Linked DNA regions of Xenopus tropicalis. The protein of the gene in region 2 interacts with the protein of the main gene of each other region in a biochemical or structural test. Links are inferred from orthologs where the notes say so. Each region holds a gene or a part of one and is shown on either strand. Other genes may lie near its edges.

Evidence for each region.
Region 1: the proteins of txnip (region 2) and slc2a1 form a complex in vitro, tested with the Homo sapiens proteins (2 studies listed by BioGRID). The link is inferred for Xenopus tropicalis from reciprocal best matches to the Homo sapiens genes TXNIP and SLC2A1.

What each region holds. Positions count from the first base shown.
Region 1 is NC_030681.2:35,709-44,778, forward strand, and holds the end of slc2a1 (solute carrier family 2 (facilitated glucose transporter), member 1), read left to right. Parts: intron 1-1,566; coding exon 1,567-1,727; intron 1,728-1,929; coding exon 1,930-2,170; intron 2,171-2,254; coding exon 2,255-2,417; intron 2,418-2,496; coding exon 2,497-2,684; intron 2,685-3,014; coding exon 3,015-3,119; intron 3,120-3,251; coding exon 3,252-3,353; intron 3,354-3,445; coding exon 3,446-3,649; intron 3,650-4,561; coding exon 4,562-4,765; 3' UTR 4,766-6,992; downstream 6,993-9,070. UniProt on the Homo sapiens protein: Facilitative glucose transporter, which is responsible for constitutive or basal glucose uptake. Has a very broad substrate specificity; can transport a wide range of aldoses including both pentoses and hexoses.
Region 2 is NC_030684.2:128,520,449-128,531,407, forward strand, and holds txnip (thioredoxin-interacting protein), read right to left. Parts: upstream 5,288-10,959; coding exon 5,047-5,287; exon of another isoform or gene 4,715-5,046; intron 4,314-4,714; coding exon 4,241-4,313; intron 4,128-4,240; coding exon 3,980-4,127; intron 3,666-3,979; coding exon 3,563-3,665; intron 3,191-3,562; coding exon 2,934-3,190; intron 2,611-2,933; coding exon 2,451-2,610; intron 2,353-2,450; coding exon 2,201-2,352; intron 2,088-2,200; coding exon 2,055-2,087; 3' UTR 609-2,054; downstream 1-608. UniProt on the Homo sapiens protein: May act as an oxidative stress mediator by inhibiting thioredoxin activity or by limiting its bioavailability.

The DNA.
Region 1 (9,070 bases), on a different chromosome or scaffold from region 2:
TCTGCTATGTGCCTGTGCCTTTTCTCCTTTTTTCCAGCTTGAATGGCTGCCCCCGGGGCTACACAGCGGGGTATTTATATAAACTATAGTAGGGTTTCTGTAGCAAACACCCCAGCTGTACCAGTGCAGGAACGGCTGCCCCCGGGGCTACACAGCGGGGTATTTATATAAACTATAGTAGGGTTTCTGTAGCAAACACACCAGCTGTACCAGTGCAGGAATGGCTGCCCCCGGGGCTACACAGCGGGGTATTTATATAACTATAGTAGGGTTTCTGTAGCAAACACCCCAGCTGTACCGGTGCAGGAATGGCTGCCCCCGGGGCTACACAGCGGGGTATTTATATAAACTATAGTAGGGTTTCTGTAGCAAACACCCCAGCTGTACCAGTGCAGGAATGGCTGCCCCCGGGGCTACACAGCGGGGTATTTATATAAACTATAGTAGGGTTTCTGTAGCAAACACCCCAGCTGTACCAGTGCAGGAACGGCTGCCCCCGGGGCTACACAGCGGGGTATTTATATAAACTATAGTAGGGTTTCTGTAGCAAACACCCCAGCTGTACCAGTGCAGGGCAACAGTGCATTATAATTTTATTACTTTAAAGCTCTTTCATTTTTTTGGTGTTACTGTTCCTTTAAGAGGCTGGGGCCCACTGAGTGGCTGGAAGTTTCCCATAGGGCAAATAAGATGTTGCAGGCAGGACCGTGCGCTTTACCCTGAGCGCTTGCATCATGTTACACGCAGCAGCCAATCACATGGCTCGGCCCGTGGGGACTGGAATTTCAGCAACTTGGACTCGTTCACCCCGAGCCCAGGGAGGATCAAGTTACTGCCCCGGCAGCTCCATAACAGCTGATTAACGTCACTAACCAACCCCCCCCCCCCCCCCCCGGCCCTGCCCAGCTGCTCCTGCCCCTGCCCCCTGCTGGCCGCTGCTAAGGCTTCTGGGAGTTGTATCTGTGTGTTACCTGCGCTGCTAAGGCTTCTGGGAGTTGTATCTGTGTGTTGCCTGTGCTGCTGAGGCTTCTGGGAGTTGTATCTGTGTGTTACCTGTGCTGCTGAGGCTTCTGGGAGTTGTATCTGTGTGTTACCTGTGCTGCTGAGGCTTCTGGGAGTTGTATCTGTGTGTTACCTGTGCTGCTGAGGCTTCTGGGAGTTGTATCTGTGTGTTACCTGTGCTGCTGAGGCTTCTGGGAGTTGTATCTGTGTGTTACCTGTGCTGCTGAGGCTTCTGGGAGTTGTAGTCGTGTGTTACACTGCTCTCGGTGCCCCTTTTCCCCCAGAATGCACTGCTTTCTGTACGTGACTCCCAGGGGCAGATTCATCAACCCCCCCCCCCCACGCAGCCGTTTCTTATTAACCCCATGAATGCTGACAGGAAAGGGTTACTCGTATGAGTGAATATAGAAGTGGGACGCCATTACTGCTCTATGGGGCGTTAGAGTTCAGCCGAGCGCTAACTCCCCTCCTGATTGTTCATGTCCGACGCCAATTGCCCGCGTTATGGGATGAAATGGTTAAACCTAAATTCCAGGTGACCGTTAACCCTTGATGTTCCCGCAGGTGATCGAGGGCTTCTACAATGCCACGTGGCTGGAGCGGTACAACGAGCCCATCCCAGAGTCCACCCTCACCTCCCTGTGGTCCCTGTCCGTGGCCATCTTCTCTGTGGGCGGGATGGTCGGCTCCTTCTCCGTGGGGCTGTTTGTCAACCGATTCGGCAGGTAAGGGGGCGGCCCTCCAGCTAAAGGGGAAATAAACCTCCCACGGAAATGTTGGACCTTGCTCCACTACTGGACTACACCTTCCAGGATATTTAGTGGGGGGCGGGGGGTCACATCATGGTAGTGCCAGGTCCGTGCCCAATGGCCAATAAGGGCTGAGGAATTAATGGCCTGACGTGTGCCTTTCTCCTCTGAACCCCAGGCGCAACTCCATGCTGATGGCCAACGTCCTGGCCTTCCTAGCCGCCATTTTGATGGGATTCTCCAAGCTTGCAGTCTCCTTCGAGATGCTGATCATTGGCCGGTTTGTGGTTGGACTCTACTGTGGCCTCACCACCGGTTTCGTGCCAATGTACGTCGGAGAAGTGTCCCCCACATCGCTGCGAGGAGCCCTGGGGACCCTGCACCAGTTGGGCGTGGTGGTTGGAATCCTTATTGCCCAGGTAGGGGGACAATCTCATGACCATGTCCATCTGGTTGGGCCGGGGCTTTTCCTGGGTACTAAAGCTTTTCTGTTCATTGTGTAGATCTTCGGGCTGAAGCCAATCATGGGCAACGACTCCCTGTGGCCCTTCCTATTGGGCTGCATATTCATCCCGGCCATATTGCAGTGCATCATGCTGCCCTTCTGCCCCGAAAGCCCTCGTTTCCTGCTCATTAATCGCAACGAGGAAGACAAAGCCAAGAGCGGTAGGTCTTTCCCACGTTACCGTGTGTGTAGGCATCTCAGTAGGCTTCAGGTCTCATCATCTCCCACTCCCTCTCTCAGTGCTGAAGAAGCTCCGCGGCACCACCGACGTGAGCAGTGACCTGCAGGAGATGAAGGAGGAGAGTCGGCAGATGATGCGGGAGAAGAAAGTCACCATCTTGGAACTGTTCCGCTCCCCGCTCTATCGCCAACCCATGTTCATCGCCATCATCCTGCAACTGTCCCAGCAGCTCTCTGGGATCAACGCGGTAAGGGCACCGTCAGATGTCCTACTGGCATCTCTCTATCCCCCCTGTGGAACTCAGTAGTGTAGCAGCCCCTGCTGGTCAGCATGAAGCATTGCAGCTAATTACCCTTGGCGGTTCCCTTATAGAGGGCAATAAAACCGCCCCACTCTAGGAATAACCCTAGTGAGTCTTGGCGTCTTCTGATTCATCTTCACTGGTTGATCCGCCCAACTATAAATGGTTCCGGCTCTAGTACATGAAAGTTCTAGAACCAAAAGGGCACAATGCTCTTTGCTCGGATGAGCTCTGTTGGACCCAACCAACCAACCAACCGGCTTTGTCTTCTTGCAGGTCTTTTACTACTCCACCATGATCTTCCAAAAGGCCCAAGTGGAGCAGCCGGTGTACGCCACCATTGGCGCGGGGATTGTGAATACGGCCTTCACCGTCGTGTCGGTGAGTTGATGGGAATCGAGTCCTTGTAAGGGGGTTGGGCAGCTCAATGCCACATACAGGGGCATATTCAGAGGGGTGTGGGGGCAACATATAGATCGCAGCTTCTTTATACAAGTCTTTTTATCCCCACAGCTGTTTGTAGTGGAACGGGCCGGCCGGCGAACCCTTCACCTCATTGGACTGGGCGGAATGGCGGTTTGTGCCATCCTGATGACCATCGCGTTGGCCCTGCTGGTAAGCCCGAGGGGCATATATGGAATGGGTGGGCAGAGGAGGGCAGTTGATATGCCTGGATAGCTGATAACACTCATTGTCTCCCCCTACAGGACAGCGTCGGTGGCATGTCCTATCTCAGCATTGTGGCCATCTTTGGCTTCGTGGCCTTCTTTGAAATTGGCCCGGGGCCCATCCCATGGTTCATTGTAGCAGAACTCTTCAGCCAGGGCCCCAGACCCGCGGCCATCGCAGTCGCCGGCCTTTCCAACTGGACTTCCAACTTTATAGTGGGAATGGGCTTCCAATATGTAGAGGTAAGTGGCCGGTGAATTGGTCTGTGTGGGGGACAGTGGGGTTGTGTGGGAGTTGTGGGTCTGCCAATCAAACCAGCAGGGAAGGGATCCTGGTAATAAAGGAGGAAATATACATCATTCCCATGATTGGGCCCAAAGGGACCAGTCTGGGGTCAGAAAGTCCTTCCATGGAAGCCACTAGATCCACCCATGGAAGCCACTAGATCCACCCATGGAAGCCACTAGATCCACCCATGGAGGCCACTAGATCCACCCATGGAGGCCACTAGATCCACCCATGGAGGCCACTAGATCCACCCATTGAAGCCACCAGATCCACCCATGGAAGCCACTAGATCCATCCATGGAAGCCACTAGATCCACCCATGGAAGCCATTAGATCCACCCATGGAGGCCACTAGATCCACCCATGGAGGCCACTAGATCCACCCATGGAGGCCACTAGATCCACCCCTGGAGGCCACTAGATCCACCCCTGGAGGCCACTAGATCCACCCCTGGAGGCCACTAGATCCACCCCTGGAGGCCACTAGATCCACCCCTGGAGGCCACTAGATCCACCCCTGGAGGCCACTAGATCCACCCCTGGAGGCCACTAGATCCACCCCTGGAGGCCACTAGATCCACCCCTGGAGGCCACTAGATCCACCCCTGGTGGCCACTAGATCCACCCATGGTAGCCACTAGATCCACCCATGGTAGCCACTAGATCCACCCATGACTCCCCAAGGCTGTTGGGCGGAACAAGGCTGGAATTTCCCCTATAGCTCCCATTATTGGGGGGCACTGAGTCTATGGAAAGACTTCCCATTGTTGGGAACGTGGCCCCTCAGCCAGTAGTGGGGCAGTTGCCCCCAGTATCCCAGTGTGTGGGGCAAAATCCTCAACATTTTCTCTCTTTTACTTCTACAGCAACTGTGCGGCGCCTACGTCTTCATCATCTTCACCGTCCTCCTCCTCATCTTCTTCGTCTTCACCTACTTCAAGGTGCCGGAGACCAAGGGGCGCACCTTCGACGAGATCGCCTCCGAGTTCCGCCAGGGCGAGGGCCAGATGGTCAAACAGGCGGAGGAGCTGAACAGTTTGGGGCACAACGCCGACGACTCCCAAGTGTAACATTTCTACCCCCCCCCCCGGCACCTACCTCCTGTTGTTACCCCCCTCGTCCCCCCCTTCAGTCGTTACTTGCCCCCAGGCCCGCGGTTGGTCGGCCGCCGTTTCCCGGAGGAGTCTGGGAGTTAGCGAGAGGGGGCAGGGAGTTTATTTGGATGTATTTGCCCCTCCGGCCACACGGCCCGACCAGCCACAAACATTAACTCACTAATTTCATTTCCACGTGTGGCCGACATGAAGGAAAGAGAAGGCGGAACCATAGAGCTCTATATATAATGCTAGATGGCTTCGTTATTTTAATGGATTATTTTTTTAATTAGTGTGAGCTTTTCACGTAAGGAAGATTTTATCCCGGGATTCTGGGCAGTGGGGGGGGGGGCGACCCCCCCGATCACCTTGGACTCTGTTTACATAACGTAGTATTTTTTTATGGTTTAGTTTTCCTTTAATATTTTTTGAGAAAGTGTAATGGCACCAAAAGGCTCGTTTGGACCCGATATATATACTGTATTGTGTGTGTGGGCCCCGGGGGGGGGGGACCCTAATTAGCGGTCCCTGACACTGGGTCACATGGGATTGGGGGGGGTATCTCCTCTGGCAAGATGTGGGGATCGGTCCTGGGGCAGCTAGAACCGAGGGGGCTCTAGAACGGAGCTGTTATCGAGGGACAGATTCGGTTCAACTGATGATGTTCTAGAAACAGACTGGGGGGGCAATGAAAACCTGTTAGGGGGCCCCCAGATGGACAACTCCAGACGTTTCCCAGCACCGGCACTTTACTCAGGCGGTGGGCACTGTGGCAGCTGATACCCCCACTTGTGGGCATTATGTGACCCCAATGAGACCCCTAAAACAGTAGAACGAGGGGACGTGGTCCCTAGTGGTGACCCTGGGTACTGCATCATTTCCAATAGACAGGGTGCCGGGGGGGCTTGATCCCCACTTCCTGCCAGAGACCCCCCCCCCCCGAATCCCATCTCGCTCGCACTCACCCAGGGATGTTCCCATAGAGGAGACAGGGTGGTTACTAGGTTACGGGGGGGCTCTTGTACAAGGTTGGGGGGGGGGGGGGCGTTTTGCTGTAGAACTTGACATTCCGCATGTTTTTGATATTTGCAGCTGCTGTTTTGTTAGGGGGGGTGCAGAGAGACCCTGGGGGGGTTTATAAATCAGAAGCAGGGTGTTAGAATCCTAGGGGCCCCCCTAGGGGGGAAATGACAAACTGCAGTTAAACTGTGGGTGGGGCTTCACTTACTGAGCAAGTGACCTATAATAATAACTGCCCCCCCCAGGCCCAGTCTCTATAGGTCGTTTCCATGGTAGGGGACAATGTGGCAGTAAATGCTAGACCCAGGAGCTGGCACTTAGACTGGCAGTCAGTGTGAGCCCCCCTGCACCCCCTTCTATGGAGCCAGTGTAGCAATTGGGTTATGGATCATACACTACATGGGGCCCCCCCGGCCCCCCCTTGTACAGCCCCAGAGCTATTTATATATATTTATAGGTATAAGTATATATATATTTTTGTCGGATGGCGGTTCTGATGATACCGGAGCAATGACGATAACGTACTGTAAATATTTATTTTAGTCACATGGTTTGTTTTTTTGCACAATAGGTCAAAGCTGATAGGTCAGTTTTTATCAATGATGAGAAATGAAATCTGCGCTGTTATTATTATTCCCGCCCTATTGGCTGTATTTGTGGCGCCCGGGGCCCCAACGTTACTGTTCATTATTCCTGGGGCCCCGGTGTAGTTGCCCTTTATCCAGCATATAATGGGGGGAATAATAATTTATATTGAGGCTCCACCCAGAGACTGATCATTGGCCGCACAGAACGTTCCCTATATGAGTATTGTGTTTCTATGGATACGTGGGAGCTGCCATGTTGCTGACACGGCCATTGTTCATAGACTAAAGCTACACCTATCCTTAACACTAGGTGGCGCTGTTCTGCCTATGAGGAATGGCTGAGGCTCGTGGTATTGCAGCTCTCACTAATAAGTATAAAATACACAGTGATCCTCCTGTTGGACAAGAGACGAGGACTATTTCCCCTTTAACTCAAGGGATTGTGGGAAATGTGGATTTTGCTATGAAGCCCCCGTGTCGGTGTGTGTTTGTACCGGGTAATCGCCGCTCATTATCCTCACACTCGTTACTGTTGTTCTAGAGAGTTTGTTTTTTTATTTATTGTGAGATTTTGTCTCGAATTAAAAATTGATGAAGAATTTTGTGTCTTCTCTTTGCTGTAAATGAGGGGAGATCATTATCGGGGGGTCTCTGTGTGGCTGGTGGGAGGTGGGCAGGACTCTGAGGGAAGGGGCAGTGACATAAAAGGGGGCGGATAGGGTGGGGAGATAGAGAGGCTGCTGGGGGGAATCTCTCTGCCATTAGTCACATGGTTGGAGAAGGGGATTATGGGATATGAGGCCTGGATGCTGAGGGGAATCTCTCTGCCATTAGTCACATGGTTGGGGAAGGGGATTATGGGATACGAGGCCTGGCTGCTGAGGGGAATCTCTCTGCCATTAGTCACATGGTTGGAGAAGGGGATTATGGGAGATGAGGCCTGGCTGCTGAGGGGAATCTCTCTGCCATTAGTCACATGGTTGGAGAAGGGGATTATGGGATATGAGGCCTGGCTGCTGAGGGGAATCTCTCTGCCATTAGTCACATGGTTGGAGAAGGGGATTATGGGATATGAGGCCTGGCTGCTGAGGGGAATCTCTCTGCCATTAGTCACATGGTTGGAGAAGGGGATTATGGGAGATGAGGCCTGGCTGCTGAGGGGAATCTCTCTGCCATTAGTCACATGGTTAGAGAAGGGGATTATGGGATATGAGGCCTGGCTGCTGAGGGGAATCTCTCTGCCATTAGTCACATGGTTGGAGAAGGGGATTATGGGAGATGAGGCCTGGCTGCTGAGGGGAATCTCTCTGCCATTAGTCACATGGTTAGAGAAGGGGATTATGGGATATGAGGCCTGGCTGCTGAGGGGCCATTGGTGCATACAGAATAGGGGCCCAATAGCACCGACACGGCCTAATAATTCGGATCCTAACGTGCAGACTGCCTATTCCCTCCCCCTGTGTCACGGCGCCACCTGGGGGCAGTAAGTGAGAGAAATTGGCTGCGTCGCCATAAAGCAAATCCCAGCGCCACCAGGGGGCAGTAAGTGAGAGAAATTGGCTGCGTCGCCATAAAGCAAATCCCAGCGCCACCAGGGGGCATCGCACAAACCGCTCATTAGCATATGCAAATCAGCAGGAATCGTGGGAATGAGTCATGTGCCTCCGACATTTACTATTTCTATAGAAGCAAATGTGTCGGAACAAAAAGATTCGGAGCGGAAAGTTTCCCCCTACAGACGGAATGTTCTGTATCCCAAGGCCATCGGAACGGAATATTCTGACGGGGAGAGAATAGAAATAAACAGCCGCGCGTTTGTTACACAGAGATAATCCTGCGGCCAATGGGCTGCTGTCTGGTTCCCATAGGCTACTAACTGCCCTTCCCTACAAACTGCCCTTCCCTACAAACTGCCCTTCCCTACTTACTGCCCTTCCCTACAAACTGCCCTTCCCTACAAACTGCTCTCCCTGGGAATAGTCTCTCCCTATTATTAACAAGAGGCTGCAGCACAATGGCTGGCACCTAAATGGGTGGGGCTGGGATAAGGGTGTGGCTTTCTGATGGACTCCGCCTACATAATTTCCTTTTCCAAGGGCGACCGTATCATTTTAGCTGCTAATGTGGGTCAGTTAGACTGGTTTGGCCACTTGTCTGCCTCCGATTGGCCTCCCCGCCCAACATCTGGCCTGAGATTGGTCATTCCTGATTGGGCAGGTTTGATTTTTACATCAGGTTGGGCATTGTGTTGGCTCCTTGATGCAGTGATGGTGCCTATGCCGCCATTTTAATTTGATCATTTGGCCTTAGGGGCATATCAGGAGAAGGTAGATCTTACAGTGTATGGAAACTCTAGAGAAAGAGACCTCAGCCTTCAGTAATAAGGGCACAATGGGGGAGAGTAAGAAGGGCACAATGGGCGAGAGTAAGAAGGGCACAATGGGCGAGAGTAAGAAGGGCACAATGGGCGAGAGTAAGAAAGGCACAATGGGCGAGAGTAAGAAGGGCACAATGGGCGAGAGTAAGAAGGGCACAATGGGCGAGAGTAAGAAGGGCACAATGGGGGAGAGTAAGAAGGGCACAATGGGCGAGAGTAAGAAGGGCACAATGGGGGAGAGTAAGAAGGGCACAATGGATGAGAGTAAGAAGGGCACAATGGGCGAGTAAGAAGGGC
Region 2 (10,959 bases):
ATTGACAATTAACAATTACCAGACAGGAAAACTGTATGAATCTCCTTGTTTCTATGATTATATTGGTGCATGTATGGCCAGCTTTAATAATATGATAAAGAATAAACTAAACCCTCGGAGTGCAATTTACAGGTTTTCCTCCAATAACATGAAATAAATGTAAGATTTAACCTTGGCTTACATTATAACTAGACAAATATTGCCACCTGTTTTACATGATGGCATCAACACAGCCGACGCTTGCCAACTGGCAAGAGCCAGGATTGTAACGTTAGCGTGGATTACATGAGGAAATCCAATCATGTTAGATAATTACACTTAGTGCCAACATTCATTCATAAACAAATCAAGTTTTTTTTTTTATATATTTCTTATCTTTATTTAAAAAATAAATATTGCCTTTAAACAGGCAACATTTCACAGTACAAAATATAATAATAATCTTTGTAACTGATATACAAAAACAGCAATGAATATTCCTCTTACAAAAGAAAAAAAAAAAAAAACCCTCCTCGGTGCAAGCATACATTCCCCAAGGAAACACAGAAGTTTTGCAGTGCTAAGTTACAGTACAAGAGATTAAGTGCTTGCTCCAAGAATCTGCAATACAAGTAGAAGTCTGCAAACGTTTAGGTCAAGAATGTTCGAACAGGGAAGGGCGGAAAAATCAAAAACACATTTTCATACATCAATGCAAAAGGAAGCCTTGTTTTAGGAAAGCTAAAAATAGCATAGTAGGCAGCAACATTAGGCTTAAGTGCATTGAAAGACTGGCGTTTTTTTTCTATTTCATTACAGAATACTGTATGTCGACTAACGAGATAAAAATAGCCCTTTATACAGTGAAACTAAAAGCTGCCAGTCGGGACGATAACAAAAATGATTTCATGCGTGTCCCAAAGGCAGATATTATTAATGGTGACGTTTCCTTTCAAGATCTGCAGTAGATTTCAAACATCTTAAATCATTGTACAGACTGAGAAAGTGATGTCACAATTAAAGCTGATCATTTTCCGGAGATCATTGCAATTTTACAAAAGCCCCCTAAGACACTGTTATGCAACAGGCTGAGAATCAGAATATTTTTTAGCTCACTATAGCTGGACGGTCAGTGAAACCTGCCCTAAGACCTGAACAATATAAAGGAGAAGCCATTCTGTAGTGGTTACATATGCCCAACCCCCTCCCCCCAAAAATTTTTTATAATAGCTTAAACATTCCACAGAATAATTAGAAAGTGCTTTACAAAGAAAAACAAAAATACTTAACACTGTTTTCTAACAGGAGAATACTAACAAATGTCACAAAAAAGGACAACATTTTTGCATGTTAATATATAAAGGATCATGCAGCATGCATATCCTGTTTTTTAGAGATATACACGCAGAAGGTTATTGGATTCGGAAAACATAATTGCGGGATTGCATTTGTAGGGTATATTAATGCCAGCTTCTCATGATTTTCTTAATCACCTCATTTACATAATTAAACCCTTCAACATATCAAAAGGGCCAGTAAAGTTACTATCCATCTCTGTCCTCTGAGTTAATGCCCTCGCTGGAATGCTTTCTGGCGTGACTTCTATAGCCCTACTTCATAAGGCACCAGTAGAAAAGGTAGACTAGCATTCTATAGTCATTTGAAATCCTTTGACCCTTGCTTATAAATAAGAGGGCAGGGAGGGGGAAAAGTAAGAATCACACCATTCAGACTCATTAACAGTTTGGTGTTGCTTAATTATCAGTCTTTGTGTGTGCTCTCAGTGATCAAATACTATGTGTGTTCGAATGTCCTCATATCCACCATTGGCCACAGATTCTTGCCCACAAAGGGCATAAAGCAGACCGCTCTTTATCTTCATGGCACATCTTAATCAGGCGATGCAGGTTTAAGGCAAGTGTGAAAGTCTTTCCTTGTCTTTGGTTCAAGCTCCTGAACCAAGCCCTTGAAGAAAAGGCCACTTACAGCTACCACATGGCCACTGTGTAACAGTAGTCAAGTGAAGAATTTAAACATAAAAGAATGAACATCCTTGGTGGTTTCTGCTTTTCGGTTTACTGCACACATGTGTTTTTGTTGACATCAACCTGATGAAGAAAAAATACAAATAGTTTAGCCAAAGGTTAGCCATCTCATTTTTTAGATTAAGTTGTGCTAATTCAAGTGGACAAGCCAAGTAGTATCAATAGAAGAAGCTTACCTCTGTGTAGGTTGGGGGGGGCATGTATTTAAACTCTGGAGCATACATGAAGATAGGGCTGTCGCAGGCTCCATCTAAATCATCCAACAATGGAGTGGTGGGGCTCTCCAGTCTGTGATCTTCAGGAACAATGTCCAGGTAGCCTGGAGGAGCTGAGGGAAATAACAGGAATAATGCATAAGACTTTAGTCTGAATACAACACGTTGGTCTAAAAGAACAATAAACAGAGCAATATTTTAAGAAACACACCTTCTGGGGTGCCTGGGATGTTCAGTTCAATCCAGCTCATCTCAGAGCTGGCCTGGCTTGCCATGCTAGAGGTACGGCTGTTCATTCCAGAAGAACTGGAGCCTATGACAAGGGGCAAGTTGAGGATGATCTTCTTGGCACCAGGGACGCTGACATAGACCTGCAATGTAAAAGGAAGAGTAGTAAGTTATCACTGCAATGCACTGGATTTTATTTCCCTTTCTACTCTCACTTGACTTTTTCAGTAATCATATCAAAGATCTTGGTGGGTTATGCTGATCAAGTTCCTTTCAGTTGGTTACCCACAGAAACCAACCATCATTTAGCTCTGAATAGTCTAGGGTGGTTAAAATAATAAAGGAACCATCTGATTGGAGTTGTCATGGGTTGGTAGACTTAAGCAAGCTTCATACTTCTTGCTAGACACTTCCATTTACACTAGATGACATTGCAACAACCAATCTGACTTAAGCCAAAACTTACCAGCAGGGAGTATTCAACACGCAGGATGTTACACCCCAAGATGGAAGGCTTGATTTTAGGTACACGGATACTCTTCCCTCTCCATGAGTCAGTCATGCCTGAAATGATGTGATTGCCTCTCACACTGCATAATTTCTGAGTGAAGACTTTGGTCTGGCCATTGGCCAGATAGGTGTGCTTGGATATAATGGCAGCTTTGGGGACAACGATGCGGGAGCAAGTGTTCTCAAAGTCAGCAGAGATGCAGATGTCTTCACCTATAAAAGAAGGGTAAATCTAGTTGAGAGGGAAGCCATTTTTTTTATGCAAAAACTAGTTGTCTGCAACATTTTGTCTTTTCTACCTGCAATTCTGACCTTATTTAATTTAGGTTTTTTGGAGTCTTCTTTGAAACCTTATACATACATATGTACCACATATCATTTAGATGGTTAGAGACAAATGAATGGAGGAACCTGCCCCATTGAGCTAATGCTTAAATATATATTGTTGTAGTTATTTATATTCTGTAATTGCATTGATCCCCCATCAGTTCTATCAGTGTATAATTTTAATGTACAGCTCTGTGTACACAAGTATCCAAACATACAAACATAAATTCTGTATCTACATTAAACAAAGAACCTTACCTTCACAGAATCCCTTGCGGTTAATGCAGGCACTCATAGAGATGTGGCCATCAGGAATGAACATGCACGTCATCTTCTTGTACTTTTTGCCAGACACTGGTGACTGCCAGGAAGAAACAAACAAGATTAGTGATGCTCTACTGAGCTGCTAAAGACAGGACACCAGCTACTGCTCTGACCCTCTGACCCTGGGGCTAATCTATAAACTCATTAGCTGCTCTGTCAATGAACCTGACCTATAATGAGTGCTGAAAGGGCAGGAGATCACTCCTCAGATAATCCAAGCATGCAAGACTACCTGCAACTGGGTATTGCAACTTTATACAATAAGGTGTAACTTTACCATTGAATACTTTTATTTCTATGACTGCACATAACTATAAGATCTATAGGACTTAGTATATAAAATATAGTTACCATGAGATCTGGAGTGTCTACATTCACAGAGTCCTCAACTTGAAAGTGCTTCTGTGCTTCTTGGGGAGGATGGGATGGCCGATCGAGGAAAGCTTTAACCCAGTACTTCACAGAACCATACTTTCCTTTGAATGATGACCCCAAAGGACTGCAAAGAGATACAGGACCATAAGACTTGATATACAAAAATAAAACAGACAAAAAAACAAAACACAAGCAGATAAATGTAATTGCTACATTTAATAAAAGCAGGATACCTACCCTTGGGGCAGCTCGAAACCGAACTTGTATTCATAGAAGTTGCCTGGCCTCATAATGACAGATCCATCGGAATCTATTTAAGATAACAAGAGACACAGAAATGAAGTTATAGCTTGGTAAAGTTTTGTCAAGGAATCACAAAATGCTGAATTGCTAACTGCGTGTAGCATTATTGCCTTATGTTGAACAGAAAGGGACAGGACAATCTTCTTTATAAGATACTATTAATCTCCCAGTACGATATGGACTGAATCCAATAGGTTGATCTGAAACTAACACACCCTGCCATGGCAACCGTGCACCAGTGCAGATCGGGATGTCCTGCCAATAGCCTCTGTAGTTTTCACACAAGCATCATATTTCTCACATACAGTGTGCATTACAGTACTGAGCCAGTGCAATAGGATCGCAGGACACAGCACTTCCAGTAGCAGGCTCTGCATACCAGGAATATTTGCCAAGTCCCAAATTCAAGTCCAGATGATGCTTACAGGGACACTGCATAGCGGGGCATTTAATGACCATAGCGGTGCATTTAATGAGTCTATTACTACAGTGCCACCAAGCACAGAGGGACACCAGATAGGAAATCAACATACGCAAAGGGGTATGTCGTCGGGTATAAAGAGCCACATCCTCATAGCCGTCATGCAGTTTAAAGGGACTACAAACCCACTTCCTATCATGCTCGTAATGCTCTTTGAAAGCATCAGGCAACCCAGCAATGCAGAGATAAACAACCCTCCAAACTACTCACAGTACCTCCATCTTTCCCTCCCACCTTTGGCCCCAACATTGCTTCTCACCTGTAGGCTGCTCCTCCATCTGCAAGGTGTCCTCAAATCTCAAGTACTCCATCTCCTGCTTGCAGTTCTGGGACCACAATACTTTGGCCACTCCACAAGCCAACACTCTGACGGCTGTCACCCGGGTCACTTCGGCCACCTCCACCAGGACCTTGCCGGTTACCTTCTCCCCGCCGCAGTACACCTTCTGCGGGTCGGCGAAGGACACTTCGAAGCACTTGACTTTCTTGAAGACAACCATGATGACAATGAGTTCTATTCCAATGGGCAACTAAGAAGCCTGAGAAGACAGTTGGGCTGCAGGGGGCAACCTGTTTGGCAATGAGGAGTCCAATGGAATTGCAAGCAATGAAGAATAGTCCTTAGGTAAGGATCACACAAACAAGCAAAGAATTTTAGTTTCACTTCAGTGTCAGTTCAGTAGTGTGTGATCTCTCTAAGCCTGCACAGAGTTGCACTGGTTAGCAGGTCCCACACTTTCCAACCTACAGGTTGTAAACAACACCAGGAAATCAGCCTGATATAGCCCAACGTAACCCCGCCTCTGCGCTCTAGCTCCGCCCACCTCGTGTATCCCGACGGCTTCCCCATGCTCACCTCATGCACACAGCTGCCATTGGCCGGCGGAATGATGTCACAGGAGAGGCCAGCCAATGGGAGCCGTACGGCAACGCGTGAACAGGGCATGCAAGCGGCGGCAAGGAGTGCGGAGGGGGCGGGGCCTGCGGCTCATTCCTTAGGCTGTTAGTCAGGGCGGGCTGGGCTCGCTGGCTGGGGTGTGTGTGTAGGACTGGGCTCGCTGGCTCTGGGGGTTGTTTACTGTTGCGACTGGTTTCGTCTATATGGGGTAGTCATGTCATTGTGTGGCACCTGTGTATAACGGAATCGCAACATAGATAAAGTACTGTAAGGGCTGAAACTGCCCTCCGGCTCAGAACAGGGTGTAAGTCAATTTGACCCCATGCAGCACTGTTATACCTGGCACTGTTATACCTGGCACTGTAAAAGCGTGTGGCACAAAGGGGTACTGTAGGTACTGTACAAGTGCCCTTATGGTGCTACTGCTGATTTGTTATTCCCAGCATCCCCTGGCAATGATGGGAGGGATTGGAGTTGATAGTTTGGCTGGGATTACCTCATGGCCCCAGACTGTTTTGCCTTACTATACACAGTTCCATTACTATACACCCTGTCCCTCAGTTCTATTACTATACACACTGTCCCTCAGTTCCATTACTATACGCGCTGTCCCACAGTCCCATTACTATACGCGCTGTCCCACAGTTCCATCACTATACGCGCTGTCCCTCAGTTCCATCACTATACGCGCTGTCCCTCAGTTCCATTACTATACACACTGTCCCTCAGTTCCATTACTATACGCGCTGTCCCTCAGTTCCATCACTATACGCGCTGTCCCTCAGTTCCATTACTATACGCGCTGTCCCTCAGTTCCATTACTATACACACTGTCCCTCAGTTCCATTACTATACACACTGTCCCTCAGTTCCATCACTATACGCGCTGTCCCTCAGTCCTATTACTATACACCCTGTCCCTCAGTTCCATCACTATACACCCTGTCCCTCAGTCCTATTACTATACACCCTGTCCCTCAGTTCCATCACTATACACACTGTCCCTCAGTTCCATTACTATACGCGCTGTCCCTCAGTTCCATCACTATACGCGCTGTCCCTCAGTTCCATCACTATACGCGCTGTCCCTCAGTTCCATTACTATACACACTGTCCCTCAGTTCCATTACTATACGCGCTGTCCCTCAGTTCCATCACTATACGCGCTGTCCCTCAGTTCCATTACTATACGCGCTGTCCCTCAGTTCCATTACTATACACACTGTCCCTCAGTTCCATTACTATACACACTGTCCCTCAGTTCCATCACTATACGCGCTGTCCCTCAGTCCTATTACTATACACCCTGTCCCTCAGTTCCATCACTATACACCCTGTCCCTCAGTCCTATTACTATACACCCTGTCCCTCAGTTCCATCACTATACACACTGTCCCTCAGTTCCATTACTATACGCGCTGTCCCTCAGTTCCATCACTATACACACTGTCCCTCAGTTCCATCACTATACACACTGTCCCTCAGTCCCATTACTATACGCGCTGTCCCTCAGTTCCATCACTATACGCGCTGTCCCTCAGTTCCATCACTATACGCGCTGTCCCTCAGTTCCATCACTATACGCGCTGTCCCTCAGTTCCATTACTATACACACTGTCCCTCAGTTCCATCACTATACACCCTGTCCCTCAGTCCTATTACTATACACCCTGTCCCTCAGTTCCATCACTATACACACTGTCCCTCAGTTCCATTACTATACGCGCTGTCCCTCAGTCCTATTACTATACACACTGTCCCTCAGTCCCATCACTATACACCCTGTCCCTCAGTCCTATTACTATACACACTGTCCCTCAGTCCCATCACTATACACCCTGTCCCTCAGTCCTATTACTATACACACTGTCCCTCAGTCCCATTACTATACACCCTGTCCCTCAGTCCCATTACTATACGCGCTGTCCCTCAGTTCCATTACTATACACCCTGTCCCTCAGTTCCATTACTATACACCCTGTCCCTCAGTTCCATTACTATACGCGCTGTCCCTCAGTTCCATCACTATACGCGCTGTCCCTCAGTTCCATCACTATACGCGCTGTCCCTCAGTTCCATTACTATACGCGCTGTCCCACAGTCCCATTACTATACGCGCTGTCCCACAGTCCCATTACTATACGCGCTGTCCCTCAGTTTCATTACTATACACACTGTCCCTCAGTTCCATCACTATACACCCTGTCCCTCAGTCCTATTACTATACGCGCTGTCCCTCAGTTCCATTACTATACACCCTGTCCCTCAGTTCCATCACTATACACACTGTCCCTCAGTTCCATTACTATACGCGCTGTCCCTCAGTTCCATCACTATACACACTGTCCCTCAGTTCCATCACTATACACACTGTCCCTCAGTCCCATTACTATACGTGCTGTCCCTCAGTTCCATCACTATACGCGCTGTCCCTCAGTTCCATTACTATACGCGCTGTCCCTCAGTTCCATTACTATACACACTGTCCCTCAGTTCCATCACTATACACACTGTCCCTCAGTTCCATTACTATACGCGCTGTCCCTCAGTCCTATTACTATACACACTGTCCCTCAGTTCCATTACTATACACCCTGTCCCTCAGTCCTATTACTATACACCCTGTCCCTCAGTTCCATCACTATACACACTGTCCCTCAGTTCCATTACTATACGCGCTGTCCCTCAGTTCCATCACTATACACACTGTCCCTCAGTTCCATTACTATACGCGCTGTCCCTCAGTTCCATTACTATACGCGCTGTCCCTCAGTTCCATTACTATACACACTGTCCCTCAGTTCCATCACTATACACACTGTCCCTCAGTTCCATTACTATACGCGCTGTCCCTCAGTCCTATTACTATACACACTGTCCCTCAGTTCCATTACTATACACCCTGTCCCTCAGTCCTATTACTATACACCCTGTCCCTCAGTTCCATCACTATACACACTGTCCCTCAGTTCCATTACTATACGCGCTGTCCCTCAGTCCTATTACTATACACACTGTCCCTCAGTCCCATCACTATTCACCCTGTCCCTCAGTCCTATTACTATACACACTGTCCCTCAGTCCCATCACTATACACCCTGTCCCTCAGTCCTATTACTATACACACTGTCCCTCAGTCCCATTACTATACACCCTGTCCCTCAGTCCCATTACTATACGCGCTGTCCCTCAGTTCCATTACTATACACCCTGTCCCTCAGTTCCATTACTATACACCCTGTCCCTCAGTTCCATTACTATACGCGCTGTCCCTCAGTTCCATCACTATACGCGCTGTCCCTCAGTTCCATCACTATACGCGCTGTCCCTCAGTTCCATTACTATACGCGCTGTCCCACAGTCCCATTACTATACGCGCTGTCCCACAGTCCCATTACTATACGCGCTGTCCCTCAGTTCCATTACTATACGCGCTGTCCCTCAGTTCCATTACTATACACACTGTCCCTCAGTTCCATTACTATACACCCTGTCCCTCAGTTCCATTACTATACACTGTCCCTCAGTCCTATTACTATACGCACTGTCCCTCAGTTCCATTACTATACACACTGTCCCTCAGTTCCATTACTATACACACTGTCCCACAGTTCCATTACTATACACCCTGTCCCTCAGTTCCATTACTATACACCCTGTCCCTCAGTCCCATTACTATACGTGCTGTCCCTCAGTCCCATTACTATACGTGCTGTCCCTCAGTTCCATTACTATACGTGCTGTCCCTCAGTCCCATTACTATACGCGCTGTCCCTCAGTTCCATTACTATACGCCCTGTCCCTCAGTTCCATTACTATACGCGCTGTCCCTCAGTTCCATTACTATACACCCTGTCCCTCAGTTCCATTACTATACACCCTGTCCCTCAGTTCCATTACTATACACCCTGTCCCTCAGTCCCATTACTATACGTGCTGTCCCTCAGTCCCATTACTATACGTGCTGTCCCTCAGTTCCATTACTATACGTGCTGTCCCTCAGTCCCATTACTATACGCGCTGTCCCTCAGTTCCATTACTATACGCCCTGTCCCTCAGTTCCATTACTATACGCGCTGTCCCTCAGTTCCATTACTATACGCGCTGTCCCTCAGTTCCATCACTATACGCGCTGTCCCTCAGTTCCATCACTATACGCGCTGTCCCACAGTTCCATTACTATACGCACTGTCCCTCAGTTCCATCACTATACGCGCTGTCCCTCAGTTCCATCACTATACGCGCTGTCCCACAGTTCCATTACTATACGCACTGTCCCTCAGTTCCATTACTATACGTGCTGTCCCTCAGTTCCATTACTATACGCGCTGTCCCTCAGTTCCATCACTATACGCGCTGTCCCTCAGTTCCATCACTATACGCGCTGTCCCACAGTTCCATTACTATACGCGCTGTCCCTCAGTTCCATCACTATACGCGCTGTCCCTCAGTTCCATCACTATACGCGCTGTCCCACAGTTCCATTACTATACGCACTGTCCCTCAGTTCCATTACTATACGCGCTGTCCCACAGTTCCATTACTATACGCGCTGTCCCTCAGTTCCATTACTATACGCGCTGTCCCTCAGTTCCATCACTATACGCGCTGTCCCTCAGTTCCATCACTATACGCGCTGTCCCACAGTTCCATTACTATACGCACTGTCCCTCAGTTCCATTACTATACGCGCTGTCCCACAGTTCCATTACTATACGCGCTGTCCCTCAGTTCCATTACTATACGCGCTGTCCCTCAGTTCCATCACTATACGCGCTGTCCCTCAGTTCCATCACTATACGCGCTGTCCCACAGTTCCATTACTATACGCGCTGTCCCTCAGTTCCATTACTATACGCGCTGTCCCTCAGTTCCATCACTATACGCGCTGTCCCTCAGTTCCATTACTATACGCGCTGTCCCACAGTCCCATTACTATACGCGCTGTCCCTCAGTTCCATTACTATACGCGCTGTCCCTCAGTTCCATCACTATACGCGCTGTCCCTCAGTGCCATTATACGCACTGTCCCTCAGTTCCAGTGGGTGACAGGTTGGGGTTCCAGGTCTGATTGGACCCATGCAGTTCTTTGTCCCACAGTTCCAGCTTTATCCCTTGATGCTTTTTTGCCTATTAATACATACTATTATGTCACTGTTACAGCATCTTCCACTGATACTGTTGTGTTTTGCTATACACATGATGCGAGAGTCCTGTGACTTTAGGCAGTGTGGAGATGATATTGTAACAATGTTTTTCTTTAGGGCTATGGTA